3 linked regions of the Tamandua tetradactyla genome follow. The protein of the gene in region 1 purifies or fractionates together with the protein of each later gene. This does not show direct contact. Links are inferred from orthologs where the notes say so. Each region holds a gene or a part of one and is shown on either strand. Other genes may lie near its edges.

What was found.
Region 2: the proteins of TRIM47 (region 1) and FBP1 purify together in Homo sapiens (affinity purification with western blotting; 3 studies listed by BioGRID). This does not show direct contact. The link is inferred for Tamandua tetradactyla from reciprocal best matches to the Homo sapiens genes TRIM47 and FBP1.
Region 3: the proteins of TRIM47 (region 1) and PPM1A purify together in Homo sapiens (affinity purification with western blotting; 3 studies listed by BioGRID, with this or other methods). This does not show direct contact. The link is inferred for Tamandua tetradactyla from reciprocal best matches to the Homo sapiens genes TRIM47 and PPM1A.

The regions. Positions count from the first base shown.
Region 1 is NC_135332.1:16,242,668-16,252,462, forward strand, and holds the start of TRIM47 (E3 ubiquitin-protein ligase TRIM47), read right to left. Parts: upstream 3,975-9,795; 5' UTR 3,944-3,974; coding exon 3,254-3,943; intron 3,018-3,253; exon of another isoform or gene 2,494-3,017; coding exon of another isoform or gene 2,257-2,493; coding exon 2,161-2,256; intron 1,980-2,160; coding exon 1,749-1,979; intron 1,569-1,748; coding exon 1,370-1,568; intron 936-1,369; coding exon 861-935; intron 668-860; coding exon 27-667; coding exon of another isoform or gene 1-26. UniProt on the Homo sapiens protein: E3 ubiquitin-protein ligase that mediates the ubiquitination and proteasomal degradation of CYLD.
Region 2 is NC_135328.1:121,203,614-121,213,932, forward strand, and holds the start of FBP1 (fructose-1,6-bisphosphatase 1), read right to left. Parts: upstream 4,745-10,319; 5' UTR 4,585-4,744; coding exon 4,415-4,584; intron 1-4,414. UniProt on the Homo sapiens protein: Catalyzes the hydrolysis of fructose 1,6-bisphosphate to fructose 6-phosphate in the presence of divalent cations, acting as a rate-limiting enzyme in gluconeogenesis. Plays a role in regulating glucose sensing and insulin secretion of pancreatic beta-cells.
Region 3 is NC_135338.1:4,804,464-4,814,554, forward strand, and holds the start of PPM1A (protein phosphatase 1A), read right to left. Parts: upstream 4,077-10,091; 5' UTR 4,058-4,076; coding exon 3,784-4,057; intron 2,151-3,783; exon of another isoform or gene 1,441-2,150; intron 826-1,440; exon of another isoform or gene 482-825; intron 1-481. UniProt on the Homo sapiens protein: Enzyme with a broad specificity. Negatively regulates TGF-beta signaling through dephosphorylating SMAD2 and SMAD3, resulting in their dissociation from SMAD4, nuclear export of the SMADs and termination of the TGF-beta-mediated signaling.

The sequences.
Region 1 (9,795 bases):
CACAGCAGGAGGTCTGGGCCCCGGCATCACCTCCTCTTGAGCACAGATATGCAGGACTTCTTGAGGGGCCCGATCTGCAAATGGGCATCCACGCTCTCCAGGAAGAAGGCCGGCTTGAGCCTGTGGGCGAAGAGCCCTGCAAAGTGGTTGTCCAGGCGGCTCTGGAAGGAGTCACTGGGGGAAGGTGGGGGGCCGCTCCGGCGTGGCCGGGCAGCCTTCAGCCTCCGCAGCAGGCTCACCTTGCCGTCTCGCACGGCATAGAAGGCCAGCGCCCGGTCGGCGTACTCCAGGCAGATGCCCACGGTGGGCGAGAAGGGCTGGGAGAGGGGCATCTCCAGCCCGTGGAACCAAATTGAGAAGCTGCGTCCGTTCCACTGCAGGCAGCAGGAGTGGGCGTTGCGGCCCAGCCGGCCCCGGTCGTAGGGCTCTTGTGGGGAGAAGTCCTCGGCCATGACCCCCATGCTGACCCAGCCCTCGATGATCTCCACCTCCCAGTAGTAGGTGCCCCGGTCGAGGGCACCCTCGCCCAGCACCTGCTCGCAGTGGGTGAAGCGGGTGGGCGACTCGGGGTAGTTGATGGGACACAGTACCCGCTTGACGCCTTTGGTTCCAAAAAGCTGCAGGAATTTGTCCGCCGTGTCGCTGTCCAAGTCCACGATGTAGGCAACTGCTCTCGCGGGCGGGACAGAGATGCAGGGCTCAGATGGGACGGCCTCTCTCCCAGGCACCCGTCTCCCCCATACACGGGCCCCTCTCCTTCTTTGCTGGGGACCACTCCATGAGCTAACCTAGTTCGCCCCAAGGACGAGGGAAGGGAATGGGAGCCAGGCAGCCAGGGGAGGGCCTAGGTGCCCACTTACACTTTAGAAAGTAGTCCCTGGGGGCTTCGCTCTCCAGGTGATTGGTGCTGTCAGGGGCCTGGGACTCGGCATCAGCTGCAGAGGAGACAGTGGGGACAGGTCGCTACAGACTGCCCAAGATGTTGCAACTGGTGCACCCGCACTGGCCCCACTCTAAACCAGAGACCACAGTTCCCGCTCCTGCCCTTCTCCCAGGGTCCTGAGTCACCTGGCGACAGGTACACGCCAGAATATGGCACCCAGTGTCCCCATGCATGCCTGGTCCCTGGGTTCTGAGCCTTGTGCCACTTGCCCCCTGGATCCTAGTCCCCTCTGTAGCTAGGGGGTGGGCAAGAGAAAGGGCCCTCTGTGGCCAAACTGACTTGTCACCACACAGAGGTGGCTCCAGGCACTGGCAGGATTTGAGCCAGGCACAGTTTCCATCCTCCGCTTCTGGATGGGCACCAGGCTTGGGGGTGCCCGGGCAGACTGGGAAAGGGTGAGTCAGCCAGGCGTGGGGGAGCACCCACCTTCCGAGCCTGGCTTCTGCAGGCTGTCCTCATTGCTTCCCAGCCCCTGCAGCTGCTCCCACTGGCTGGTGCAGGCCGCAGCCAGCACATCTCTCACCGCCTGGACGGCTTGGCTCGACTTGGTGAAGCTCAGCTCCCTCGGGGGGCTGGGCCCAGGGCCGCACCCCTCTTCTAGCGCCAGCCGTAGGGCCAGGAGCTCCTGTGCCAGACAGATGCCGGTTAAGGTTGTGCTGGCTCCAGCTCTGCCCGGCGGGGGTGGGACAGCTCTGCCAGGAGGCTGGGTCAGTTCCTCGAGGCCACGTGCTTGGGGGCAGTTTCTCCATGCCCGCCGCCCCTGCCTCCCTCTGCCTCCCACCTTTCCCACCGGCAGCCCCCTCACCTGCAAGAAGCTGACTGAATCTGCCTCCGGGACCTGGCTGAGGTTGTGGCGGGCACGGCTGAGCCGGCTGCGCTGCTCCTCCTGCCGCCGCAGGTCCCCCTGCGAGTGGGCCAGCATGGCGGCCTCCCCCTCCTCGATGAAGCCCCGCACCTCTGCCTGGAAGCCCTGCAGGGTGGCCGCGGCCTCGGCAAACAGCCTGCTTACCCTCTCCCGCTCTGCTGCAGCCGCGCTCTGCACGGGACGGCATTGGGGGTGGGCATGAGGGCAGGGTATGGTCCTGGGCTTCGGCTCCATCCTCCCCACCCTGCCCACACCTCTCGGGGGCACCCAGGGACCCAGCCGAGCCTGCCCAGATCCCCAGGGCAGGGGAGACCCTCCGTTCAGTGGGGCTGGGGGAGGTGGCGGCTCTGACCTTGATGAGGGCCACGGTGCGCCGGGACTGGGCGATGCCGGCACCCAGCTCGTCCATACGGTCGTCTGCAGCGCTCAGGACTTGGGGCTGCTCAGCCTGTGGGTGACACCGTCCGTGAATCCAGGGTCTGGCAGAGGCCAGAGGCCAGCACCCAGGGCCCGCAGGAGAGAGAAGAGGGGGGAACCAGAGTGGTGTCTGTGCCTGGGTGAGACTAGCAGTGGCCATGATGTCGTGACCGTGCCAGAGGTGCCACTCCCAGATGCCCATGGACAGGAGGCCGGCGTGGTCGTCCGCCCTCCCTGCCTGACACAGGGCATGTCCAGGGCCAGGCATGGACCCTGCTGTTGCTCAAATTCACTTGAGAACCTCCTCCAGTGGGAAGAGAGGCCAAGGATGAAAGTGTGCCAGGGCGACTGCACAAGTGGGCCTGCCACTGTTCTGGGGATCACTGACCACCCCCCCCAGGTCTGTATCCCCAATGTAGGCCTGAAAACAGGGGATTCCGAGTAAATCCCCTGGGTCTTATGAGTCACTGCTCCAGGCAGGAGAGACGGAAAATCCCAAGGCCGGAGGCACCAAGACCCGGCTGGAAGCCAAAGGAAACTGGGGGCGGGAAGGAGAGGATAGGGCTGCACACATGCTCGCGGCGGATCTGCTGGACAGAGCAGAGCTGTGTGCCGGCCTCCGCCTCTCTTCTGCGGCACTCCTGTCCCCGCCACACCCATCCCACCCCCTGCCTCAGCCCAGGGCCAGTTTCAGCTGGAACCGGCATGCGAACCGGCATGCGCAGGAGCGCATCAGCCTCGCCGCCGGCATCAGCCTCCCGGGCACCCCACGGGCCTGGCCCAGCCCCGTCCTGGCTCAAACCTACATCGACCCTGGCTCAGGTCCCCCGCCCTCCCTTCGCGTCCTGCGTGTCCTCCCTCCCCCATTCCCATCTCCACCACCGCGAGAAGGTGGTAATTTCAAGACAAGGATCCTTTCCGAGCCGGGAAGGAGGGACTGGGGGTGTCCACGGCCCCCTCCCCCCCCCCCCGCCAGCTCGCGCGCCGCCACCGTCCAGCCCCTGCCTGCGCAAGGCGTCCGCGCCCACCTCCCGGAGCGCGCGCTCCTGCTCCAGCGGCACCAGGTCGTGGCCGCGGTGCTCCAGGGCGGCGGCGCAGGCCTCGCACAGGCACACGCGCTCCGTGCGGCAGTAACGCTCGAGCGGCCGCAGGTGGCGCGGGCACAGGCTCTCCTCCAGTCGGCGCAGCGGCGGCACCAGGCGGTGTCCGCGCAGCGCGGGGCTGCGCTCGTGCGGGCCCAGGTGTGCTGGGCAGAAGGAGGCGAGGCAGGTGAGGCAGGAGAGCGCAGCGGGCAGGGCGGCGCCCTCGGGACACGCGTCGCAGCGCACTGGCTCTTCGGCCTCCGGCCACGGCTCGGGGGCGCAGGGAGCCGACGGCTCGGGGGCGCTGGGCAGCACGCTGGGCGCCGCGGGCTTCGGGGCCGGGGCCGGGGCCGGGCTGGAGGCCGGGCTGGAGCCGGGCCCGGGGCCCGAGCCCTGGCGGAGCTGCAGCAGCTCGGACAGCGTGTGGTTCTTGCGGAGCTGCAGGCCGTCGGGGAAGGGCTCCTGGCACAGTGGGCAGCGCGCTGAGCCCCCCGGCCCGCCGGCACCTCCTGCGCCGCGGTGCGGCCAGAGCGCGCCCAGGCAGGCGAGGCAGAAGTTGTGGCCGCAGGGCAGGGTCACCGGCTCCCGCAGCGGCTCCAGGCAGATGGGGCAGCCGAAGGGCCCGCTGCCGTCCATGGCTCCGCGGCCGCCGGGGGCACCGCCTGTTCTGCTCCCGCCTGGGAGGGACCCGGGCCGTTTGCGCTTCAGCGCCGCCCCCCAGGGACGGCGGCCAAAAGTTCGGCCCCCGCCCGCCCCCTGACTCGGACCGCCCCCCCAGCGCCGCCCGCCCGCCCCAGCACAGCCGGCCCGGGCCCCAGACAGCGCCGGCCCGCCCTTCAGGGCCTCGCCTGACTCCCAGGGGCTGTGGGCGGCCGCCCCCAACTGCATAAGGAGGTGGGGGTCAGGGGGCGGGGTCAGAAAATGGGGTGGGGGGGCATGCTGGAAGGAGACTGGAGAGGAGGTCCCACCTGGGCCGGGCCTTGGTGCTCCACATCCCTCCCCGGCGGGTTAGCAAAGTTTCTTAGCTGCTGACTGCAGAGAAGGCTAACTGCTGACGTCCCTATGTTTTTGCCCCTTAGCGACTCTATTTACCCCGGTGGGTAACTCGGAGCATTTCTCAATCTGAAATGGGAAGTTGACGTCATCCTCCCCGTCGCTGGGTGAGGAATTCAGTTCCGGCCCCTGGATGCTGGTGGCCCCTGCAAAGGGGCTGGGTCTGGGGCTGGATCCCCATGTCGGACGCTTGTTAAGGCTCAGCCAGCTTGCACTTGAGCGGGGACATTTTTTTTTTTTAATTTTTTTAAATACCAAAAAACACAAAGCAAATGCAGACATTCCTATTTTGATCATTCCGTTCTACATATATAATCAGTAATTCATAATATCATCACATACTTGCATAGGCATCATCATAATCATTTCTTGAAACATTTGCATCTCTTCAGAAAAAGAAATAAAACGAAAACAGAAAAAAAATTTATACATACCATACCCCTTACCCCTCCCTTTCATTGATCACTAGCATTTCTATGTACTAAATTTATTTTAACATTCGTTCCCCCATTATTTATTTTTATTCCATATGTTCTACTCATTTCTTGACAAGGTAGATAAAAGGATCTTCAGACACAAGGTTTTCACCATCACGCAGTCACATTGTGAAAGCTGTATCATTATTCAGTCATCCTCAAGAAACATGGCTACTGGAACACAGCTCTACATTTTCAGGCAGTTCCCTCCAGCCTCTCCACTACATCCTGAATCACAAGGTGATATCTACTTAATACCTAAGAATAACCTCCAGAATAACCCCTCCACTCTGTTTGGAATCTCTCAGCCATTGGCACTTTATCCCATTTCACTCTTACCCCTTTTGATCCAGAAGGTTCTCTCAATCCCTTGGTGCTGAGTCTCAGCTCATTCTAGGGTTTTTCTCAATCCCTTGATGCCGAGTCTCAGCTTATTCTAGGATTTCTGTCCCACGTTGCCAGGAAGGTCCACACCCCTGGGAGTCATGTCCCACGTAGACAGGGGGAGGGGGGTGAGTTTGCTTGTTGTGTTGGCAAGAGAGAGAGGCCACATCTGAGCAACAAAAGAGGTTGAGCCCAGACATTTTATCGGGTATAAATTATACCTCTAATATTGATTTAAAAAAAAAAAAAAAGAATGGCAACACAATAAGTTAGTGTTTGGCTTATAATCCAAAACCTAAAATAAATATCCATGAATCCACACACTGGTACAAAAATGATTGGATAAATTCATAAATGTGGGCAATTACACCCATTTCTCCATAATTCCAAATAATTTATGTAGGTACTCTAAGCTGGAACTTAACTTCCCACTCCTTAAAGGTGGGCTGCACCTGGTGACTTCCTTCCAGACAGTACAGCACAGAGTCCAAAGGTACCTCAGCCAGGTGCTTCAGCATCAGCCCTGATGGCATGTTGATAGTAATTCCCTTGATATCGTTAAGTAAAATAAAATGGCTACCTGTGTTCTGCATGGCCAGAGAAGACCCCCTTTCAGAGAATGACTTTTCCAGAAACGCTTGACCTGCAGGGATTTTCAGAAAACAAAACAAAACAAAAGCAGAACATGGTCTGCAGGGACGCTGATAAAAAATACCTGGTAATAAAACTAGCTTGGGTCCTGTGGACAAGCAGGCCACCCTAACCTACATGAGACCCCCCTATGCAGGACGGCAACTTCATGTCAGCCGACCAGAACCCCATAGGAGCTCTTCCTTCCACTGCTTGGGGGAGCTCCCTTCAACTTTGGGAATGGGGGGGCACCTGCTTCATGAATGCCCAGTAGAGCTGTGAGATCCTAAATTGTATGAAAAGGTTTTCTTTTATTAGCATGATATGAGAATGGCCCCTTTGCCTCTGTGGCCAATATCTGAGTGGCACCTCTCAAAACTGTCCAGGTCATCAAAAATAGGGTGGGTCTGAGAAACTGTCACAGCCAAGAGGAGCCTAAGCAGATTTGATGACTAAATCTGGGGTAGATCCAGGACAGAAAAGAGACAGAATAAAAAGTAAAGAAGTTTGACTAAACTATGGATTTTAGTTCGTAAGAATGTGTCAGTATTGGGTCCTTTATTGTGATAAATGTAACGTAGTAATATAAGATGCTTACAAAAGGGCAAAAGAGATGGGGTGTGGGGTAAGTCTCCATATTTTCTTTCCAATTTTTCTGTACATTTGAAGTTTTCTAAAGTTAAAAGTTTTGTTTTAAAACTATAGAATAGTTGAGGCAATTCTTCCCACACCCAGGCCCACGGACCTCCTGCAGATGAGAACACCAAGTGTAGGGAGTAAATGGATGTTTGGGGGTTGCAGGGGAAGCTGGAGTCCAGCTAGAGGAGGGGCTTCATTTTCATCATGCCCGGGACCCCTTTAGCAGTTTGGATTCCTTTTTCAAAGTAATGCTTTTGAATGTACAACCCAAAATGTGTAGAACTCCACCTGAGCTGTACAGGCTACTTCTAGATTTTGAGATGCTGTGTTATATATGCATAACCTGGTATTTCCCTGAAACTTTGGCTACCTGTGTGACATCTAAAACTCAGAGTTGGTGTTCTTCAGCTCTGCAAGTCAGCATTGCTACATACAACACCTGTTAAAGGAACTGAGAAAGAGATCTGGCTTCAATTAGAGATGAGAGTGCAGCTGACATCTGTTCAGGACCAAGATAAATCAGACTGCAGGGTAAAGGGTGATATTGTCTGTATTTCAGAACTTCACCTACTGTATGAGACCAAAGGAAGAGGGGTTCGTTGTGTCCCAAACCTGATTTTTTTGTAGCATATAACCTAACTCAACCTGTCTGGAAAGCTCATTGGAACATCCCCAACACATGGAGCCCAGAATGGGAATGAGGGCTTGTAATTCTGTATAGCTTAATGTAATACCTGGATACAACCCAGAGTATGGTGGGCAGATAATTAAAATGTATTGACAAAGTCCCTTGAGGAATTGGAGAAAAAATGTGAAACTATTAAACTTTCCCACTGGGGAAAACCCTGATATTGTCTCAAACATTAGAGACTCCCATGTCAATAAACCACGCCCTTGATCTTGAGGCTTACTCTTATGAAACATTTCTGTGGTGGAGAAGCTAAGCCTACCTATAGTTATGCCTAAGAGTTACTTCCAGAAAGACTCTTTTGTTGCTCAGGTGTGGCCTCTTTCTCTCTAAGCCCAACTCTGCGAGGAAAATCATTACCCGCCTCCCCCCACTGCCCATGGGACATAACATCCAGGTATAAAAGTCTCCCTGGCAATGTGGAACATGACTCCCAGGGATGACCCTGACTCTAGCACCATGGGACTGACAATGCCCTCCTGACAAAAAGGGGGAAAAGAAATAAAATAAGGTATCAGTGGTTAAGAGAGTTCAAATAGAGTCAAAAAGCTATTCTACTATATATTGCTGTTTGCCATGGCTTGCCAACCACCAACCAAAACCATTCCTGTCAACCCTAAGGAATACCTAGGGCTCTGTCTGAGAGTCTACAAAAGTTTCATGCACTGTGATTACTTTCCAGAAACCTACAATCTCTAGATGGTTCCTAGGCAGATAAGTCCTAAAACCCAGAGGGGCCAGCCTCTCCGGAACATCAATTAGTTCCATCCCCCTATCCCATATTGTCAACACCCTTTTTCTTTTTTGATTTTTTAAAACTTTTTTATTGTATAATATAATATATATACAAAGCAAAGAAATAAAAAAGCAATAGTTTTCTAAGCACTCTTCAACAAGTACTTACAGGACAGATCCCAGAGTTTGTCATGGGCTACCATACCTTCATCTCATATTTTTCCTTCTAGCTGCTCCAGAATATAGGAGGCTAGAAGAAACAGATTTTATCATCAAAATTGACTTCTTTTTTCCTTTTTTGTGAAAAAAATAACATATATACAAAAACACAATAAATATCAAAGCACAGTGCAACAATTATTTTTAGAACAGATTTCATAGTTTGGTATGGGTTACAATTCGACAATTTTAGGTTTTTACTTCGAGCTGCTCTAAGATACTGGAAAATAAAAGAAATAGCAATGTAATGATTCAGCAATCATACTCATTTGTTAAACCCTACCTTCTCTGTATAATTCCACCATCACCTTTTATCTTTCTCCCCCTCTTTAGGGGTATTTGGGCTATGCCCATTCTAACTTTTTCATGTTGGGAGGGGCTGTCGATAATAAGGGGTAGAGAGATGGAACTAGCTGATGTTCTGGAGAGGTTGGCCCCTGTGGGTTTCAGGACTTATCTGGTCCAGGGACCCATTTGTAGGTTGTAGATTTTTGGAAAGTTACTCTAGTGCATGGAACCTTTGTAGAATCTTATATATTGCCCTAGGTGTTCTTTAGGATTGGCAGAATGGTTTTGGTTGGGGTTTGGCAAGTTACGAGAGGTAGCATTGTCTAACTGAAGCTTGCATAAGAGTGACCTCTGGAGTAGCCTCTTGACTCTATTTGGACTCTCTCAGGCACTGATATTTTATTAATTACTCTTCTTTTCCCCCTTTTGGCCTTTGTGGATCCCATGGTCGACACCCCTTTTCAACATGAAAATTTTAGAATGGGCATAGCCCAAATACACCTAAAGGTTGGGAGAAGGATCAAAAGAGGAGGAGGAGTTATAACAGAGAAGATAGGATTTAACCAATGAGTTATGACTGCTGAGTCATTATATTGATATTTCTTTTAGTCTCCAGTGTCTTAGAGCAGCTAGAAGGAAAAGCCTGAAATTGTAGAACTGTAACCCATACCAAACTTTGAAATCTGTTCTATAACTACTTGTTACAATGTACTTCAAAGTTTATTGCTTTTTTTTTTGTATTTATGTTATATTTCACAATAAAGAAATGTCTTTAAAAATGTGTACGGCTCCAAAGGAAACTAATCACATTGCAGTATAGTCACAGAATATTAAGAAAGCAAATTTGTGGTAGAGTAATATATGTGTTTCTTTAACACTGTAAATAACAAGAACGGGTGGAGATCTGATTCTTACTGTGTTGAAATCATGATGACCATCAATTATATTTCAGGTTTTCTGGAACCTTGTAATGTACTATGAAAACAACTGTAAATTCCATTGATGACAAAGTCATAGGTATACTGCTAATATTACTGGAAAGAATTGTTGGATGTCAGCTAGAGGACAGTGGAAATAAAGATGGGACTTTTAGATTCAGAAGGTCGAATTTAGAAGCTGCTGCTCAGAGCCCCTGACATCTCCCCTGGAAGGAGGGAAGACAGCAAAGATGTAGAAAATGCCTCCCACTGGCCTCAGCGGGCCTTGCCTCGTTGAATCTCATGATGCTTTGAGGAAGCTCAGAAAGGCCGCGTGACCTGCCCACAGCCACACAGTGGCGGGCATTCTCCTTCTTCTGAGCCCACACTCCTTCCTCTGCAGAGGGAGGGAAACAAGGAGACGCTGCTCCAGTATCCTCCTTGGCTTCTCCCAGACAA
Region 2 (10,319 bases), on another chromosome or scaffold:
ACAAGCGAGGAAACTGAAGCTCAGCAATGTTATGTTAACTGCCCAGATCCTCCCGGCAATCAAATGGCAGAGATAGGAATAATACGAGCTCAGATCCATCTCTCTCTGAATTTGTGCTCTTAAGCCCTGCATGTTCCTGCTCCTCTAAACCCAGTCCCGATTTTCTTTTCTTCTTCCTCTCGCCTCTGGGCAAATATGCCTAAATCCAGCCAAATCTGTAGTTTTTCATGTCCGAGTTCCAGGCTGGCATGTCCAACTGCAGGACATCATCTCCAACTGCGATAGCCCTCTAACATGTCAAGTTCAAAGTTTCCAAAATGTTGGAAACATCGTCTCACCCTTCCAGCCTCCCCAAACCTGCTCCTCCTTTTGAATTCTGTTTTTGTCTCATTTTTTAATGGCCCTTCTCTCAGTCCTAGGACCAGCTCCTTGAGTATCAAGTATTCACCCTTGCCACCTGATGATTCCCCAATCCACTCGCAATTTAACAGCCCCCCTCCCCAATCCACCATCACGTGTACCCTACGCTTCAAACTGAATGAGCAATTTTTCCAAAAAGAATCACTCCCAACTCAGTACCCTTGCTTACATAACTGTCAGCCTGAAATGCTTTCTAGCCATCAGGCATTATGACCACCTTTTACTGTCTATTTCAAATGCACCTCTTCCTTCACAATCGTAAGCACCCACATAGTATTTTGGACACCTCTATGATATAGTCTTTTGGCACCTCTGATAGAGATTCTCTATCAGAATTTCTATTGTGTGTCGTAACTCACTCTGCATCTTATTTTTCTACAGAATAAGCACTGTGTCTTTCTCATGTCTCAGTCTCTTCTAGAACTTTGTAAATTGTGAGTGTTCAATAACTTTTTCTTTTTGGTATGCTATATGGCAGGGGTCACACTTCATTCTTTTTTCCAAGTGAGTAGCCTGTTATTACTGCACCAATTGTTGAATTTTTGTGCATTTGTTTTTTCTTTCTTTTGTCAGCTTGTTTTGTTTTTTGGGGGGAAGTGCATGGGCTGGGAATCGAACCTGGGTCTCCTGCACAGCAGGCAAGAATTCTACCATTGAACTACCCTTGCAGCCCCTAAATAACATTTTGTTGAATTGAATGGAACCACCAAATTCTTCAGTGTATTCAGAAACATGTACAAAGGAAAGTCAACTCCACAAACCTAAAGCAAAAGCTGAAGCCACCAGAGAACCGCTTTCCCCCAAAGCAATGAAAATGAAGAAGTGGGGGAACACCCGGAATTTTGACATACGAACCATGAATTTATCAGATCTGCTTTATGACTTGACGGGCCGCTAAGCGTTCTTATTAAAGAACCAGAAGCCTGGCTATCGGTCGCTGGCATCTGCATACCTTCTCTCCTGAGAGTGGGTGGAAGAGAGCCTGGGAACACCTAGTTAAGACTCCAGGAACATGTATGTCAAAGGGCAATGGCTCCTTGGGAAACAGTTCTGAATTCACGTCAAAGATGTAATTAATGATGAGATTTAGAGTTTGGTGAGTTGTCAGTGATTTCTTAAAAACAAAGGAAGAAACATGTGGTGTGGCAGAAAGAGCCCTGAGCTGGGGCTCTGGGACATCCAGGTCACACCTTCCCTGGCCTTCAGTGGGTGTCCTCAGCTGTAAAAGGACGGACAGGACTAGGTGACATCTAAGTCTCTTTCATTGTAAAACTCTAGCATTCCATGAACATCTTACTAGAACTATGAAAGTGGCAGCTGTAGGCAAAAATGAGAGATGGAGAGAAAGGAAATCTGGCTGTACGCCTCAATTTCTGATGTTTCCTCGATGAGATGTCATCGTCATGCTCCTTAAACATGTTTCTGTGAAGTCACTGCAAATCTGCCATCATCCTGTCCCTCTGGGTGAATATCCTTCTAGGGCAAGTTCCCAGCACTAACAATCTTTTTGCAGGCACTCTGGGCTTTTCATCTGGGAAATCAAAGCCTGTAATGAATGTAATTTGGAGGCCTGACTCGAGATCATGTTTGATTGCTGCCAGCCTGACTACATGTCATATGGAGAAGAGCCAAATTCTTCCTTTCCCAAAGGAGTATTTAAGTGCACAGGTTTCTGGTTCTCTCCCACCAGCCACCATCATGACTACACATTGACACCAGTTCCAAGGGTACAATGCTATTTATAATGGGCAAATACTAGTGAAAACCTAAATGCCCAAAGACAGTCATAAAATAACTTTGCAATAGGTCCAGGCAGTGGAATATTACACAGCCTTTAAAAGGGGGGAAGTAGATTTACATGTCCTGATGCGAAAGATGCTCATTATAAGACTGTTGAATGGTAAAAGCAAACTGCAGAAATGTATGTTAAGTGTGATCCCATTTTGTTTGATATTTACATGTAAGCATATGTAAAATATATGTCCATGTGTAAATTTTTCTGATTATTAAGAAATATCTGGGAAAAATAACTCATACATTACTAACAGTGGAAAATCCAGGGAATGGACAAATTTCACTTATTGCTTTATGTTTTTTGAATGGTTTGAATTTTTGTCAGTGAATGAAATTTCTTGATTAAATTATAATAGTAACAACAATTAATCACAACTATCTAGTTTAAAAATACACATATTTCATGCAGCTAAAATGAGCACCCTTTGTCCAGAATCCACTCTCATAGTCATATACACAAGGAAGGCATTATCTGATCAGGGAAAACACACCTCTCTCCAAGTGTTCAGAGTTCATAAAAACATTAAAGCAATCAGAAAACACTGAGGTTACTTAGAAGATAGGAAAGATACACCTCAAAACATATCCTGAGTTTCTGAGACTCTATGGGTTTCTGAAAGGTACTGAAACATTTAAAAAATAGAAGACATGATAAGTTCTTTTTTTAAAAAAAGCTCCCTTTTCTCAGTCATGAGGCCACCGATACTCGAAAATGAAATCTGAAGTGAGATTTTAACTGAACATGTTTCCTAAAGCAAAGAATCCTTAGAAATATGTTATTAAGAAAGGTCAAAGATGAAATTAGTAACGAGCTACCACCTTTCTATTATACCTGTTCCAATTTCTCTTACCCTGCTTGATATCTGAAAATAAACATGTGATCTTGCGCTCCTTTCTGAAGAGTTAGCTCTACCAGCCCATACTCTGGTACCAAACGGGCTGCCTGAAAAGGAATCCAGGTTGCAGGAAGTTTGTGTGTGTGTGTGTGTGTGTGTGTGTGTGTGTGTGTGTGTGTGTGTGTGTGTGTGTGTGTGTGTGTGTAGGGAGAGGGGCCGTTTTAATAAATGTAGAAAATGCATTCCAAAGTAGGAAGGTTGCACTTTTTTTTAGATCAGCTATGAGCATCATGCATCATTTAAAAAACAATGCTCATAATCATGAGAAATGTTAGGAAGCAGTGTGGGCAATCTGAAAACCCAGGGACCCTTCAGTTACAGCAACGGCCAGTCAATAAAATAATTTAGTGCACCAGGATAAATTAGAAGGTATTTGTGTGACTTACAGGAAACTTCACAGAAGGTACCCTTTGAGTCACCATGCCTCGTAAGTCCTTGCTTCTTAGAGTTGTGGCCCCACAAGTAGAACACTCTAAATGTGTTAGAAATGCAGAATCTCAGGCCCCACCCCCAGCCACATTTTAAGAGGATCCTCCTAAGTAATTCCTGGGAATGCCAACAACTGAGGTACATTCATAGCCTAGCTCATTTAAAACTCTTTCATTTACACACAGCTTTTGGGCAAGGGCTGCACACACCATTACTGCATTGGATAGAAGTTTTTAACCTGTCTGGGTGAGTTTTCTGTGTTTGTGGGACAACACAGCAATTGCCCCAGGCAGGGCCAGCCTCCAGAACACTGCATGAAAACAGCTCTGCAGCTCTGTGCAGGCAGGCTCCCTCCCACCTGCCCGGGTTTAGAGTCAAAGAGATAGTGGGTTGGAAACCTGACTTGGGACTCCAATCCCAAAAAAGAGAACCAGAAAGTAAGGCATCCACTCCACACGTTCCTGTGTGAGATGATCCCAGACTAGGATGGGGCACTTGGGCCGGCCACGTGCCATCCCTGGCCAGTCTGTTGCATCTGGAGGAGCTGAGAGATGTTGTCAAGGCAGGTTGCTCAGTCCAAGTAGAAGGGGTGCAGGATGGTGCGGGTTTCGACCTGGGAGACAGACTCTCCTCGCCCCACCCCACCCCCAACACCCCCAGTTGGGTCCCTCCAAGGTTAAGGGTGGACGACTGGGTTTGAGTGCGGCTAAGCAGGCTTCTGGAGAGAGAGGAACTATCAGAGAGAGTGAGAGACTCTTAGATGTCAGAGAGACGAAGGCTGACAGCAGGTGGCCAGAGAGCCAGGTGTCGGAGATCCCCAGCCTGACAGACAGACAGACAGGACGCGACCCCAGGCAGCCGGAGACCTGACTCACAGGTGCGCGATGCCCGCCTTGCGCACGGCGGTGGAGATGGCTTTGACCGCCGTGCAGAGCGAGTTGAGCAGCTGGGTCATCTCGCCCGTGCCGCGGGCCTTCCTGCCTTCCTCCATGACGAAGCGGGTCAGGGTGTTCACATTAGTGTCGAAGGGCGCCTGGTCCGTCATGATGGGACCCGACTGGGGCGCGCTGGGCGGCAGGTGCAGGCGGCGACAAGGCAGCAAGAGTTCGACCCAAGCGCGCCGAAGGTCTGCACCGTTAAGAGCGGACCTGGTCCAAGCGGCGTACCGGAGGGGTGTGTCTTGGCGGAGCCTATAGGCGCCGAGTCCCCGCCCCCCACGCTCGGGTCCCTCCCAGGCCCCCCACGCCAACCCCGCCCGCGGGGATTTCACTCAAACTGCCTGATATTGCAGTGCTCTTGGCTCCCCGCACCCCGCAGTCGCCCGGACACGCCTCGGTGTGGGCGGAGCACAGCCATTTGCGTTTGTGGAGCGTCACTCGGGGCCGCCCATCTGATCTCCTTCAGTCCTCACAACAGTCCTGCCCGAGAGGTACAGTCGTGATTGACTGATTGATTGATTTCTGTATTTTTCAAACTAGAAAGCAGAAGTTCAGAAAGGTTAAGTCACTCGCTCAGTATTGCACAGCTAGTAAGTGAAGAAGCCATCCCCGCAGCCCAGCGTGGCCGGGTCGCAGCGCCCCCTGCCCTTCCATCGCCGGTGACCCCTGCTGGGCTTGTTTACCTGGTTTTTCTGACCGACCTCAGAAGTGGATGCCCCTGCCCTGATGGCCCAGGTGTGAATCCTTAATTCAGGCCTCTTCCTCTTTATAGAGTCCTATAATTTGAAAGCTGTTGGAAGGAATGAAGTGCTGGTCCATACCACAACGTGCGTGAAGCGTTCAAACGTTACGTTGAGTTTATGAGCTAAGCCAGACACGAAAGGACAAATATTGTATGATTCCACTTATATGAAATATCTAGAATGAGCAAATGCATGGAGACAGATTAGAGGTTAGCAGAGGCTGGTGGGAGAGGAAAATGGGGAGTTTTTGCTTTACTGGTGCAGAGTTTCTGTTGGAGGTGATGAAAAGGTTTTGGTAATGGACAGTGATGATGACAGCATAATATTGTGAATATAATTAGTGCCACTGAATTATACACTTAAAATGCTTAAAATAGGGCAGGCCACGGTGGCTCAGCAGGCAGAATTTTTGCCTGCCATGACGCAGACCTGGGTTTGATTCCCAGTGCCTGCCCATGTTAAAAAAAAAAGGTTAAAATAGAAAATTTTGTTTTATGTTACCACAGTAAAATTAAGAAAGAAAAAAAAGGTGGGGGGTGGCTACAGGGAATCTTAACTTTCAGCACCTGCATTTTTTGCAGAGGAAAAGCAAAACAGTTGCAGAGACAGAAAAGCGCCTCCTACCTACCACACGGCTAATCCATGGTAGCTCTGGGGCCTTGAGGCTCCACAGCCCATCCCTTAACTGCTTTGCAACCACAGAAGTGCTGCCCTAAGGCTGGTCATGCCCTGATTCAGTTCATAACATCTATTGAGCACCTACTATGTGCTGTCTAGTATGTGTACCTACTAGGTCACTGTCGTAAGCAACTGGGGATAGAGCCTGAACAGAACAGCTAAAACTCCTGCCCTCATGGAGCTTACTTTGTAACAAAGAGGCAATGAACAAGCTAAATAATAGCTCTAATATGTTAGATGGGGGTTAGTGCTATAAAGGAAACCAAAATAGGAAAGGAAGATGGGGAATGTTGGGGAGGAAGAGATAAATAGAGGAGTCAGGGAGGTTTTATTGAGAAAGTGACATTTGAGCAAAGAACTGAAAGACCTGAGGAAGGAGCCAGTGGAGATTAGAGAAAAATGTTTTCAGCAGTGAGAGAAGGAAGTGCAGAGACCCTGGGGTGAGAGGGTGTGGCATGTTGGAGGAATGGCCAGGAGACACTGTAGCTGGAACAGAGCTAGCAAGGGGCAAAAGGGAGGAGATAAGGTCATGGATGGTAGGATGGTGGTATAGGGCCTGGGAGCCTGTGGAAGGTTTTACCTTGACTCCAGTAGGAAGGAAACTATTAGAGAGTTTTCAGTAGAGGAAAGGCATGACCTAATCTGATGTTTTTACATGATTACTCTGGCTACTGTGTTTAGATTAATCCAAAGAGGAGAGAGGACAGATACTCCTGAGGTTACTGAGAGATGGTGGGGGGTTGGGCAGAGAAAGTAGCCATGGAGGTAATAAGAAATGGTTGGATTCTGGGCATAGTTTGAAAGTGGAGCTGATGGGATTTTTTGACAAGTGAAATGTGTGAGAAAGGGGAGTCAGGGATGATTCAAAGGCTGGAGAAGAATGGAGCTGCCCTTAACTGAGATGGAGAAGACCAGGAGGGGAGTATGCTGGAGACACCTGAAGAGTAGGGACTAATTCTGGGACATACTCAGTTTCAAGTGCCCATTAGACATCCAAGTGACTGCCAAGTAGGTGGATTTATGAGTCTGGAGTTCAGAGGAGAGGTCATTGCTGGAGGTATACATTGGAAAACCTCAGTTGTTTTGAGCCATGAGATTGGGAGAGATTGCCAAGGAGGGGTAGGTTGGAAATCAAGAGAGGTGGCATCCAAAAGCCAGATGAAGCCCATGAGTCGAGGAGCAGGGGGTGATGGCTGTGCTAAAAACTGCAGATGGGTTAATCAAGATGAAAACTGAAAACTGCTGAATTTCGTCGGTGGAATCTAGGGTGCCCAGGAATGTCACATGGGGGAGGCTTACAAGAGAAGGTGGTGGTACCACCAGGAAAGACAGTACTTGTCTCTCCAAGGGGGTGTTGATAACCACTGCAGAGAGGGCAGACCGCTTGAGGCAGCACAAACTGCACTTAGCTCTTTGTTCCTCATGCAACTTTTCAGGAGAAGTAGCATGGAATGTTAAAAAAATGTCTAGAAGAGATATATTTCCTTAAATATAAAATCTGCAACGTGATGACTAATGCTTTTGGCCTAGTAACTAGTATAGCCACTCCATTCAAGGGTTTGCCCATTTACATCTCAGATTTCTAATCCCTTAGAGTGATGGTTTGGAGCTGTATGTACTCCCAAAAAAACATGGTCTTAAATGTAATACCTTCTTGTTGGTGTAACCCATAGTAAGTCGGGCCTTTTTAATGTGGCTACTTCAGTTAAGGTGTGACCCACCTCAGTAAGAATGAATCTTGATCCTATTACTGGAGTTCTTTGTAAGCAGAAAGAAATTCAGGCAGAAAAAAAGCCATGGGGAGCAAGAAGCTGAAATTTAACAGAACCTGAAAGAGAATACAGAGGCCAGGAAAGGCCGCCATGTGCATTGTCATTTGACTGACAAGCCAAGGACCAAGGATTGCTAGCACCCAGCTCCAACATGCCAGTCTTCAGGAAGAAAACATCTGTCTGATGATACCTTGATTTAGATTTCTCTTAGCCTTAAAACTGTGGGCCAATAAATTCAAATTGTCCAAACCAACTCATTGCATGGTGTTTGCTTGAGCAGCCAAGGAAATGAAGATGCTCAGTAACTTGGATTGGCTAGAACTGTAAAAGTCATCTAGTTCAACCCAACCCTTCTGAAGCTTGAATCTCTTGGACATCATCCCTGATGAGAAGATGATGATGGCTCTAAACTTGGCCTTGCCACTTACTGGCTGTTCAAATCTGTGCAGGTTACTGAACCTCTCTGAACAGCAGTTTTCTCACCTGTCAGGTGGGGCTCTTGAATGTAGCCACCTAGTAGTGTTGATGTAAGGACTGTAGCAATGCCACTGAAGTGTGTAGGGATGGTGCCTACGTCATCTTTTGCTGTCAAATGAGGGCTGAAGAAAACAACCCGAGTGCCCATCAGTGGATGAATGGATAAACAAAATGTAGTACATCCAAACAGTTGAATATGATTCAGCCATAAAAGAATGAAGTCTTGTAACTCTTAACCTCTTTAAGAGTTCAGAATTTGGGTTGGGCAGGCCTGTGGGATTTCCGGCTCTAGCCCTTACTAGCCTGAACATCTTGGGCCAGTTACCCAATCTCTACAAAACTGGTGTATTCGTCTGTGAAAGAGTGATTGTTCTAGCTGGCAGGGTTATCCTGAGGATGAAATGAGATGCTCAGAGCCCGATGCAGAGGGCACAAAATACATGGAAGAGACCCTTTCTAGTTATTTACAACAGTCATCCACAATGATAGACAGCTCAAGCCAGCACCCACAAGGCCTAACATTCCCCTTTGGAGTGAGGCCACTTAGCGAGATGGTTAAGTTCATAGACTCTGGAGCTAGGTTTCCTGGCTCTAAAGTTGACCTTGCCACTTACTGGCTGTGCAAATCTGTGCAGGTTACTGAATATCTCTGAACAGCAGTTTCCTCACCTGTCAGGTGGGGCTCTTGAATATAGCCACCTAGTAGGGTTGATGTAAGGACTGTACAGAAATGCCACTGAAGTGTGTAGGGATGGTGCCTGGCATGTGGTAAGCACATGGTATGTACATGTTTGCATTGTTATGATGTGGATAACATCAACTGTTGCTTTCATCTGAACAGAAGGAATTAAGTTCTCTTGCCATCAAAAGAGGGCTGAAGAAAACAACCCAAGTGTCCATCAATGGATGAATGGATAACCAAAATGTAGAACATCCAAACAATTGAATATGATTCAGCCATAAAAGAATGAAGTTCTGTAATATGCTACTGCTTGGATGAATCTTTAAGACATTATGCTGAATGAAATAAGTCAGATACAAAAGGACAAATATTGTATGATTCCACTTACATGAAATAGCTAGGATAAGCAAGTTAATAGAAAGTAGATTAGAGGTTACCAGGGGCGGAGGTGCAGGCAGGGAGAATGGGGAGTTATTGCTTAATAGGTGCAGCGTTTCTGTTTGGGGTCATGAAAAAGTCTTGCTCATGGATGGTGATGATGGTGGCACAGCATTATGAAAGCAATTCTTGATGCTGAATTGCACACTTAAAACAGTTAAAATGGAAAATTTGATATAGGTTATCTCAATAAATTGCTTAAAAAAGAGAGGGAATGTCGAAGGGACATTGGAATCAATGTCCTCGTTTATATTTACCAGTTGTGCAATGATATCCCGTTCACAATGTGGCGGGGTCATCATGCAGGAAGCCCATTCCCCAGGTGTTTGCCAGAGACAGGAGCAGGTGCAGCCCCTGAGGGAGGCGGGCGCCTTGCACGTGGTCTGCACACATGGCGCTTTCTCCTGCCCCTTCCACACCACTCTCCCCCATGGCAGGACTGGCCACGGCCCTCTGTGACTGCTCCTTTGCTCTCATCACAAAACACACTCCGATTGCAGACAATCTTGCAGACTTGAGTGGTGGGTGTGGTATCCCCGATTTTGTGACAGCTCTAAATCCTGTAAAGAAACAGTGATCACCTGTTTCATCACCTGGCTCCAACCCAGGAAGGCTGTCTCTGGTTTATGTCAGAGGCAGGAAGTTGGAAAGGAGCAGTGTGGACAGTGAATTGCGTCCTTCCCCTCCTACCCACCTCCACACCTCCTGAACTGAGGTCACTTCTTTGTTTTCTCCCCTGTCCACGTGATTCGCGCAACAGGGAAAGAAATAGCAGATGGTTGCTTATGACAGAGTCCTTCTGACTGTGTGGCCCTTCCTTGAGCAATTCCCCGGTTCCTCTGACCTCTGTGGCAGCGGAACTTGAGATAGAAATTCATGCAGCTGTCACTTTTGAGCTAATGTTTATTTAGTTACTTGCTAAGTACCCAGCACTTACCAAGGGCTTCATCACCCAAACACAAACTCTGCACCTGTTTAGTAATACCTTCCCCTTCTCCCCTCCCCACCCCTGCCCCTGTTGCCTCTACTCTACTTTGTGTCTTTATAATTCG
Region 3 (10,091 bases), on another chromosome or scaffold:
GGCCTCCCTCCCACCCCGACCCCTCGAAAGCCTGAAGCACATTCCCCAGAACCGGGTGTTTCGAGGGCAGGTCCGGCCCGGGGGCGCCTCCCCCGCTCCCTCTCCGGGCCGCGCGCCCGGGCCCGCCGCGCCCCCTCCCCGCCGGGGAAAAGTTCCGCCGGCCGCCCCCGGGCCCGCCGACCCCTCCCGCGCCGCCGCCGCCGCGCGCACCCCGCCCGGGCCCCTCCGCGCGTCGCCGCGCCGCCGCCACCCCGCCCCCGCCGCCCGCCGCCGCCCTCCAGGCGCGTTAACCCCTCGCCGCCCGCCGCCCGGCTCGGAGGAGGAGGAGGAGGAGGCCGGGCCAGGGGGTGGAGTCGCCGCGTCTCCTCCCCGGAGCGGCCGGGCAGACGCCCGGCTTGTTTACAGGCCCCAGGCCTGGCTTCGCCGCCGAGCAGGCCCGCGCCGCCCGCCCGCCCGCCCTCGGCCCCAGCGCCGCGCTTACCCCGAGCAGCCGCGGGCGGGCAGGTCCCAGGTCGGCCGAGGCGGCGGCGGCCGGGGAGGGGGCGGAGGAGGGGAGGAGCCGGCTGCGTCCAGGCCCCCGGCTCTCGGCGCCCTCGCGGCTCAGATCATCCGGGCGTTGGAGCGGGAGGCGGAGGACGGGTCCCGGAGGAAGAAGAGCCGAGGAGTCATCGCTTTCGCTCCCCACCTGCCTGGCGCCCCCCCACCCCCCCTCCCCAACCACCGGGTCCCGAGCTGCGGCCGCCCGAGTTCCCGAGGCTCCGGGCCGGACCGGCGCGGAGACCGCTGTTCCCTCGCTCCCACGCGCGCTCCCGTCTCCAGCGCCGCCGCCGCTGCCTCTAGCGCGCCCCCGCGCAGGCGCGCTCACGACGGCGCCGCCCCTCCTCCACTCCTGCGCTCGCCCCACCCTGCCGGCTCCGCCGCCGCTCCAACTGCGGCGCGGCGGAGCAGCTGAAAAGACCCGGATGTCGTGGGGCAGGCACTGCGGCGAGCGCTGGCGCGCGGTTGAGGGCGGCCGCGAGTGACGTCACTGACCTCCCCAGCTTCTCCCGCCGACGCCGTCGCCTAGCTGTCCGGGCGACGGGAGCCTTCCGATCTCCGCTCCGAACCATTATCCGGCCCTGGATCCCCCAGCGGCGGAGACTGAACAAGACTGCGCAACCGTTCGGGGTCTGGGAGGCTCTAGAGCCTTTCCCCAGCCGGCCCTCGGAAGGTTACCCCTCGCCCCTCGGGCGGCTGCGCCTCGCTGCTGGGCGCGTCCACCTGCCTGCAGATCCCCATCCCACTCGCCACCTCTCCGCGGGCCCCGCTAGGGTGCTGCCCGCGCAGGGCCGAGGTCAGCTCCGGAGCTTTTTCCTCTCGCCGCTGCCGCTCCGAGGCGCGGCCGGTCCCGCGGCGTGGCCGACCCCCTCTCTCCCAGTGCCCCGCGACCGCAGACCCTCTTCCCCGAGTGTCCCCGGGAGCCCCACGGACGGGCTCCGGCCACGCACTTTGCGCCCCGTAGGGCGGGCACACACGTACCCTGCCCCCACCCACCCACCGACCCAGAGCGCACATGATGCACGCACGGGGCACATGCCCCGAGTTTCTGGCAGGCTTTCCGCCGTAGCTCATGGGATTCCAGGGTATTTATTTGCACATGTTGGTCACGTGATTTTGTCACAGCGAACCTCCAACGACCTCCAATGAGATTAAGGGAACAGAGGATTTTTCCAAAAATCTGGAGGATAATCAGAAACATAGCAGCTGCTTCCATTAAGAGTTAGAGATGAGCTCAACTTAATTGAAGTTGCACGTGCAGGCGGCCAAAATCCAGTTTAGCTAGCTAGCCTAGGGAAAACCCGACCCACGCCGCTTGCAGACGCCGGGGATAGAATGACAAACCCTAGGCGACCAATGAATCAGAACTAGGGAGCAGTACATCACCAACTCGCGTTCCCATTGGTTGGGGGGCCTTTCCTTCTCGTTAGAGGCTTAACCTGTTCGTGGATTTGACCTACACCACATTCTCAGAAACAAGCTAAAAGAAAAGATTCCTGAAAAATTTAGAAGATGTCCTGACACATACAAAGAAAACCTGAGTGCGTTATTGCTGAAGGGAAAGACGTATAAAAGAATACCTGAAAACACTAGCCAAATTGAGCCTAGCCAAGGTAAGTTTGTGATGAGCCCTCTCCATTTTATCTCAGGAGTTCAATGTAGCATTTTGCACCCAGCCACTTTGTATATCCTGTAATCACTTTGTTGCCCCAACTCTTAGATCAAAAGCAACTTATTCTTTCATTCAGCAAGCATTATTTAGTACCTCTAAAGTTCTAAAAGCCGTCTTCATTTTTTGCAACGTGACTTGTGGGGGAACTTCTGTGCCCTCCGCTTTGAGACCTCACAACGGGATCAAATAGTAGCTCCAGTCAGTGACAGACCAAATCTTTGGGGAACCCAAAAATCACTCTACCCAACATCTTTGGGATTAGAATTTCTTCGAGTAAGATGTAAATGGATCATTTCCAGGAATATGAAGTAAAAATGAAATTCACTTAAGAATTTTGTCCCAGTATCATCTGAGGACATAATTCTTAATTGCTTCCCCATATACCTGCCAAGAAAAGAAATTGGATCAAAGATCTTTGAATTTCTACCTATTGAAACCCTTAATTCTTCAGACACGAAACAGCATGATTAGCATGCGACTGGACTCATTAATGGTCCAAAATAGAAGAGCCCAGGTGGTGACCAGGATTTGGAGAGCTCGTTAAAAAAAACTGATTTTCTAATTCACGAGGCAGAAGCTGGCTCATCAATGACAGCAGGGGACCACAGAGAAATTGAAGATTTTGTCCATTTTTCTGCTTCCTTCCTTTAGATGTCCTCACCTTTCTTCACTCTGCTGTACACTGGTAGGAGAATCTGGGCCAATTGTAGCAGGAAAGGGGGGGAAGTAAAATATGAGCGTAAAGATAGATTTTTAAGGAATATGCACAGTGTACCACAGACTGCCAATAAATCCACAACTTCCTGCAATCTCTTATTTCAGGACACAGTTTGCATGGACATTTTGGTAAGAAATGGAAAATTCATGGATTGTAAGATCAATGTTTTAAATTTGGAGCAAATCTTAACTGTTTCTAATGAAATATGCTTGATATTATAATATCCCCTTCCCTGTTATTAAAGTGTAAACTAAGGGGAGAAACCTAAATGAAGTGAAAAACATTGGGAAAAAAAGAGTTGAAGATTTTCTTCTCTTTTGAGCTACAAAGCTTAGCTTGGGCCTCCCACACAAGTCTGAGACGTTCATAGTAGGTTTTGTAGAACAGCAGCAGGGAATATATTGCCGTAACTGTATTTTAGGAATTTCTATGGGTATGTTATTAAACTTTGGAAATCTCTTTGTATTTCAGTTAACAAAGATTTTATCAAAGATTAGCTTTAAAGTCTTGAATTTAAATCCATGCAATTAGGCCAGTAGTTGTAAGGTTTGGGGTGGGGAAGGGAACTGTGGTGGGGAGTCTGAATAGTCCAGCAAGACTCAGACCCCCATTCCTCCATAAGTCTTATTTTAAAGAAGAGGTTTACTATTGTGAATGCATCCAGGAGAGTCACCCTTGAGACAGCCTTACCCAGGTCTCTCAGGATAATCTCAAACAATTTAAATGACCTCTGGAGGGGCTGCCTGAGACTCTCCCTTCCCCCGGGCCATCCCTCCATTCACGCTAAAGCCAGCCACTACACAAAAGTTACAAAGCCAAGAGGGAGGTTCAGTTCTTCCTCTTCTACCTTCACTACCTGTTTCATGTTTTCCTTTCTCAAAAATCCTCTTCATTTGTCCTCCTGTTCTCTCTTTTATCCTTATCGTTCTTCTCCCTGTCTTCTGTTCTTTTTTCATATCCTTTATCCTTCTTTTCCCCATTTTTCTCTTCTCTTTCTTCTTTAGCTTAGTCCTCATTGCAGCTTCTACTACCCACTTAAATAGTGCCCCAAAACTAATGTGGTTTAGGGTGTGTAAACCCCCCACACCCCAGTTTTCTTTCCTCCCTCCCTCCCCAGCATATCGTGGCATGAAAAATTTAGCTGTTTAGGAGGCTGTCATAGAATTAAAAGGAACAGAGAATCCTGTCCTGTGTGACATCACTAGGGCAGCTCTGTCAGGGTGGGGCAGAGAGGAGCCAGCCATCCTTGCTGCCGCTGTGCCTTCTCCTGAGCCCAGAGAAAAATGTTGCTATTATGAGAGCCACACACAAAGTCCTGGCTGGTCTTTATGGTAGGCTCTTGCCTCAAGATAAATGTATGTGCCTACATCCGTTGGTGTGGATCTCGTCAGACAAGTCAGTTCAACAGGTAGTTACTGTGTGCCATGCACTATGCTGGACACTGGGGACAGATAATGACATCAGTGGGCAAGGTCCCTGTCCCCAAGGAGCTGACATTATAATGAAAGATATGCATGAAGAAGAAGAAGAAAAAAAGACAAGGAAATCGCTCATTGTGATCAGTTGCTGTGATGGGAATAAAAAATAGATAAAGGAGGTGACCTGTAACAGGTGTTCAGGGCAGTCCTTTCTAAGGAGGTAGCATTTGAGTTGAAGGATGAAAAGAGGTGAGCCCAGAAAATAATTGAGAGCTTTCCATGCAGAGGGATTGGCATGGGAAAAGGGCCTGAAGTGAGAAAGAGCTTGGCAGAAAAAGTTTGCCCATACAGCCCAAAGAGAGACTCAGCAAACTCAAGGCAAAAATTTTGTAGTCGACAAAGTTTAGTTGGGGTTCCAACTTAGGATATTTGGGATATCCAACTTCCAGTTAGGAAAACACATTGCACAGTGGGACACAATCCATACAAAGCAACTTGGTGAAATGGTCCAGGCAAAAAAGCACAGAGGCTTCAAAGAATCAAGTTTAAAAATCAAGTGACTCTTGCTCAATTATGAAAATAGAGAGGCATGCCACAACCTCCAAGAACAGGTTCCTTTAGACATGATAAGTAAACTATAAGCTTTGAAAAAAAAAAAAGAGATAGCTTTTTTCTCCCAATATGGTTATCTTAAGTAAGGATCAGTAAGATTTTGAGTGGACATCTGAGTACATCCTTTCTGAGTGTTTAATATACAGTCCAGGCATTATGGAAAATCCAAAATTAAACCATACCTCTGAAAACTGCAACACATTTTGCACCCTTAACAATGGAGGCCTGGCTGAAAAGCAGTGATGAAATGATCATCATAATAAGCCATTTTTATCTGTTTCCTGCTCGGCAGTTTACAAAGCACTCTCTCACAGGCCAACCAATTAAATCCAAGCCTTGTGGGTAGATAGGGCAAGGACTGTCGTTCCCATCCTTTACAGAAGGGAAAAATTTGACTGGCACCCAGGTTTTCTCCTGTACCCTACAGATCATCACTGCATTTTTTACATGTGAGTAATAAAAGCAGTATGGACAATCAGTAGAAAAAGCACTAAACTAAGAGAGAGCAGTGTGTTGGAGCTGGCCTGTACTGGCTCACGAGAGCCAACTTAAATTTTAGGAATTTTGATGGCAGTTTGTTAACACGGCCATTATTAAAAATTAAATTTTATAAATTTTTATTAAATGGCTTTATTTTAAAACTAAGGTAATTGTGCCGATTTGAATTTGTTGTGGACCCCAGAAAAGCCAAGTTTTTAATCCGCATTCAGTATTGCTGGGTGGGAGCTTTTTGATTATTTCCATGGAGATGTGACCACTTAATTATGGGTGGTAACTTTTGATTAGATGGTTTTCATGGAGATGTGTCTCCATCCATTCAAGGTGGGTTACTTGCTGGAGCCCTTTAAGAGGGAACCATTTAGAAAAAGTTATAGAGCCCACGCAGCCAGAGACATTTGTAGATGAAGAAGGAAAACAGCCTGGGGATCATTACGAAACAAGAAGCCTGAAGAGGAATCTAGCAGGTGTCCACATGTTCGCCATGTGCCTTTCCAGTTGAAAGAGAAACTCTGAATGTCATCAGCCTTCTTGAACCAAAGTATATTTCCCTAGATGCCTTAGATTGGACATTTCTACAGCCTTGCTTTAATTTGGACATTTTCATAGTCTTAAGAGCATATAAACATGCAACTTAATAAATTCTTCTTTTTAAAAGCCATTATGTTTCTGGTATATTGCATTCTGGCAGCTTGCAAACTAGAACAGTAATGAATACTAGAAATGCATCACTTTTATATATTTTAATACTTTTTATTATTATATATGCTTTTGTGGTTATTTATGCCTATTTTGTCTGTGTGGTGGAAATTCTCTATAAGTTATTACTGCACATCTTTACCCAACTCTGTATTCAGTGACTTCATGTTGGAATTTGAAATTAGCCATGGAAGGAGTATTTACACCATGGAGTTAGCCATGGAAGAAGTATTTGCACATGTGCCACAAATTAGGGCTTCACTTATTGCTTTGTTGATGGTCTAGACTTGAGAAAGTGATGGAGAAAATGTTAATAATGAAGACTAAATTTTAAAAAGCATGTCCTGTCCTGTTTTGAATATCACAAAAAACATCCAATTTAGTAAAGAAGTCACCCGCAACATTGGCTCTAAATTGTCTTTGTTACTTCTTCAAAAGGACTCCAAACTCTATTTTTGTATTTTATGATTTTTTTAAAATAATTTTTATATTATAGAACTTGGGCCACCATGCATTTATTCAATCAATTGGTATTGATCTCCTGGAATATGCTAGGCACTGCTGTAGAGACTGGGGATATTGTGGTGAAGAGGGGATACAGTTTTCATGGAGCTTACACCGGCCCAACAGAATGCAAGCAAGGTCATTGCAGAGAGGGATAAGTAATAAGGATGTGGAGAAAAGTACGACCCAGGCAGGCTAGGAGACAGAAGGGTCAAAGGAGAGGTTACTCAGCATGGGTTGGTCAGATAGTCTGTTAGAGGAGATGGCAGCTGGGCTGAGGCCTTAATGACAGGAGGAAGCCACCACATAAAGATCTGGGGGAATAGTACGTAATCTGTCTCAACCTGTGTGGATAGATCATTTAAGCAATTCAGATACAGGCAGCCCAGAATAAGAATGAGGGCCTTTAATCCTGTAGGGCATAATGTAATGCCTGGATACATCCCAGAGTATATTAAGCAGATAATCAAAAAGTGTTGGCAAAGTCCAATACTTTTGGACTTTGGATGGAAGAAAAATTATGGGACTATTAAATTTTACCACTGGGGAAACCCTGGATACTGTGCCAAACATTAGGGACACCACATCAATAGACCAAGCTCTTAATCTTGAGGCTTGCTCTTGGGAAGCTTATTTACATAGCAAAGAAGCTTAGCCTACCTATAGGTATGCCTAAGAGTTACTTCTGGAGGACTTCTGTTGTTGCTTAGATGTGATGTCACTCTCTCCAAGCCCAACTCTGTAAGTGTAATCATTGCCCTCCCCCCTACGTGGACATGACATCCAGGGGTGAATGTCTACCTGGTGGCATGGGAGATGATTCCCAGGGTTGAGCCTGGCCTGTGATTCTGACAAAAAGGAGAAAAAGGAGTTTAACAAATAAGGTTATCAGTGGCTGAGAGAATTCAAATAGAATCAAGAGTCTACTCTGGGGGTCACTCTTATGCAAGCTTCAGTTAGACATTGCTGCCTAACATAACTTGCCAAACCCCAACCAAAACCACTCCTGCCAATCCTAAAGAACATGTAGGGTATTATATAAGATTCTACAAAGTCTCCATGCACTAGGGTAACTTTCCAGAAAACTAAAACCTCCAAATGGGTCCTTGGGAAAGATAAGTCCTGAAATGCAGAGAGGCCAGCCTCACCGGAACATCAGCTAGTTCCATCCCCCATCCCATATTATGACAGCCCCTTCCAACATGAAAAGGTTAGACTGGGCATAGCCCAAATACCCCTAAAGAGTGGGAGAAAGATCAAAGGTAATAGTGGTGTTATACAGAGAAGGTAGGGTTTAACAAATGAGTATGATTGCTAAATCATTATTTTGATATTTCATTTAGTCTCCAGTATTCTTAGAGCAGCTAGAAGTAAAAATCTAAAATTGTGGAATTGTAATCCATACCAAACTCAGAAATCTGTTCTATGACTAATTGTTGCGCTGTACTTTGAAATTTATTACTTCTTTGTGTATATGTTATTTTCACAAAAAAACAAAAAAAAAAAGTCAATTGTGATGATAAATGCACAGCTATATGATGATATTGTGAACCAATGATTGTACATTCTGGGTGATTACATGGTATGTGAATATATAATATATATCAATAAAATTTTTTTTTAAAAAATCAAAGGAGAAGGTGGAGTTATAAAGGAGAAGATAGGATTTAACAAATGAGTATGACTCCTGAATCATTATATTAATATTATTTTCATCTCCAGTGTTTTGGAGCAGCCAGAAGGAAAAACCTAAAATTGTGGAACTGTAACCCATACCAAACTCTGAAATCTGTTCTATAACTGATTGTTGTGATGTGCTTTGAAGTTTATTGCTTTTCTGTGTATATGTTATTTTTCACCATAAAAAAAGTGGACTACTAGCTCTATTCTATAATATTTATAATGACCAAGTGTGTCTCAACTTTGATCTTAGGTCAAAAGTTAGCAAACTTTTTCTGTAAAGGCCCAGGTAGTAAATATTCAGGCCTTGCAAGCCAAGAGCCAAAACTGAGTTATAAATGCTTTACTAGGAATGGTTTTGCACTGAGCAGCAGTGCAAAATGACAACAGTACCAAATACTGTCTGTCCTGGTTTTTCAAATTGTCCACGGCAGTGCAAAAGCAGCCCCAGAAAATAGGTAAACCAATGGGTGTTCCAAGAAAGCTTTATTAACAAGCACACACACACACACACACACACACACACAAATCTGGGGGAAGAGTATGCCAGTCAAGAACGGAAGCCCGGGGATGGAAGTGAACTTGGCTTGTTTAGGAACAGAGAACTCCGAAATGGCTGAGGCATAGTGAGGGAGGGAGTAATTAGGGTCCCTATATTTCGTGGCAAGAATTTTGGATTTTATTTTGAGTGTGATAGAAAATCACTGGAGATTGTTATGCACAGGAGTGATAAGATCTGATTTATTTTTTGCTTTTGCTGCAGTATGGAGAAGAGTTTAAGGAAAGCAAAAGTAGAATTAGAAAAGTCCTTTTGTGTCAGTTTCAAAGTCTATATGAGGAGGTAAAATTAGCTTTCAGTTTTAAATTGCGTAGGTTGATTATATTTTGGTGATAGGAATGTGGTCTTTTAAAGAGCTCTTGTCACTGGTGCTCTTGTTTTTAGCTTCTGGGAACTATCCTTGGGTATTTTTGCCAATGACTCTTCAAGTAACCTTTCTTGGTAATTTTAGAAAAATGCAATAAGGAGTATCTTGTGGGAAAGTCTAGGTTAAGTGTAGGTAAAATAGAAGCCCACTTAACTGGTTTGATCTCAAGTGAAGACCTATTATCCTCAAAAATATTCTTCAAAAGCCTCATTACTCTATCCCTTTTCACTCACCACCTGCATCTGAATGCAGGCTGAAGACTAAAATTCTTCTAATTAAATGATTACTTAATTTTTCTAATTAATTTATATTTTGTGCTATATAGTGAGAATGATAGTTAAGGTGTGTTTACCTAAAACAGACATTTACATCTTAATATGACAGTCTTTAAGTCATTTATAGAGTCAAGTTGTAAATCTTGGGAAGCAAGTCCCTTGATGTGTTGGTGAGACTGAGTAAAGGAAGTGTGAGAAGGGATTCAGTGAAGACCTCAATAACACCAAGACAAATTTTATTTCTTCTAAACTGTACCTAGATTTAGTCTTTCTCATGGACCTGTGAAAGAAGTAGTTCACATATCAGTCTTCTTATTTGCTATGAGGCTTTCTTTATTTAATTTAATATTCATGTATTGGTACCCTTCAAAATAAACCTGGAATAGGCCTCTGGAAAAGGATAACTAATTTTATGTTTGTATTAGTTAGGGTTCTCTAGAGAAACAGAATCAACAAGAAATATTTGTAAATATAAAATTTATAATAGTGTCTCACGCAACCGTGGGAACGTAGAGTCCAGAATCCACAGGGCAGGCTGTGAAGCTGATGATT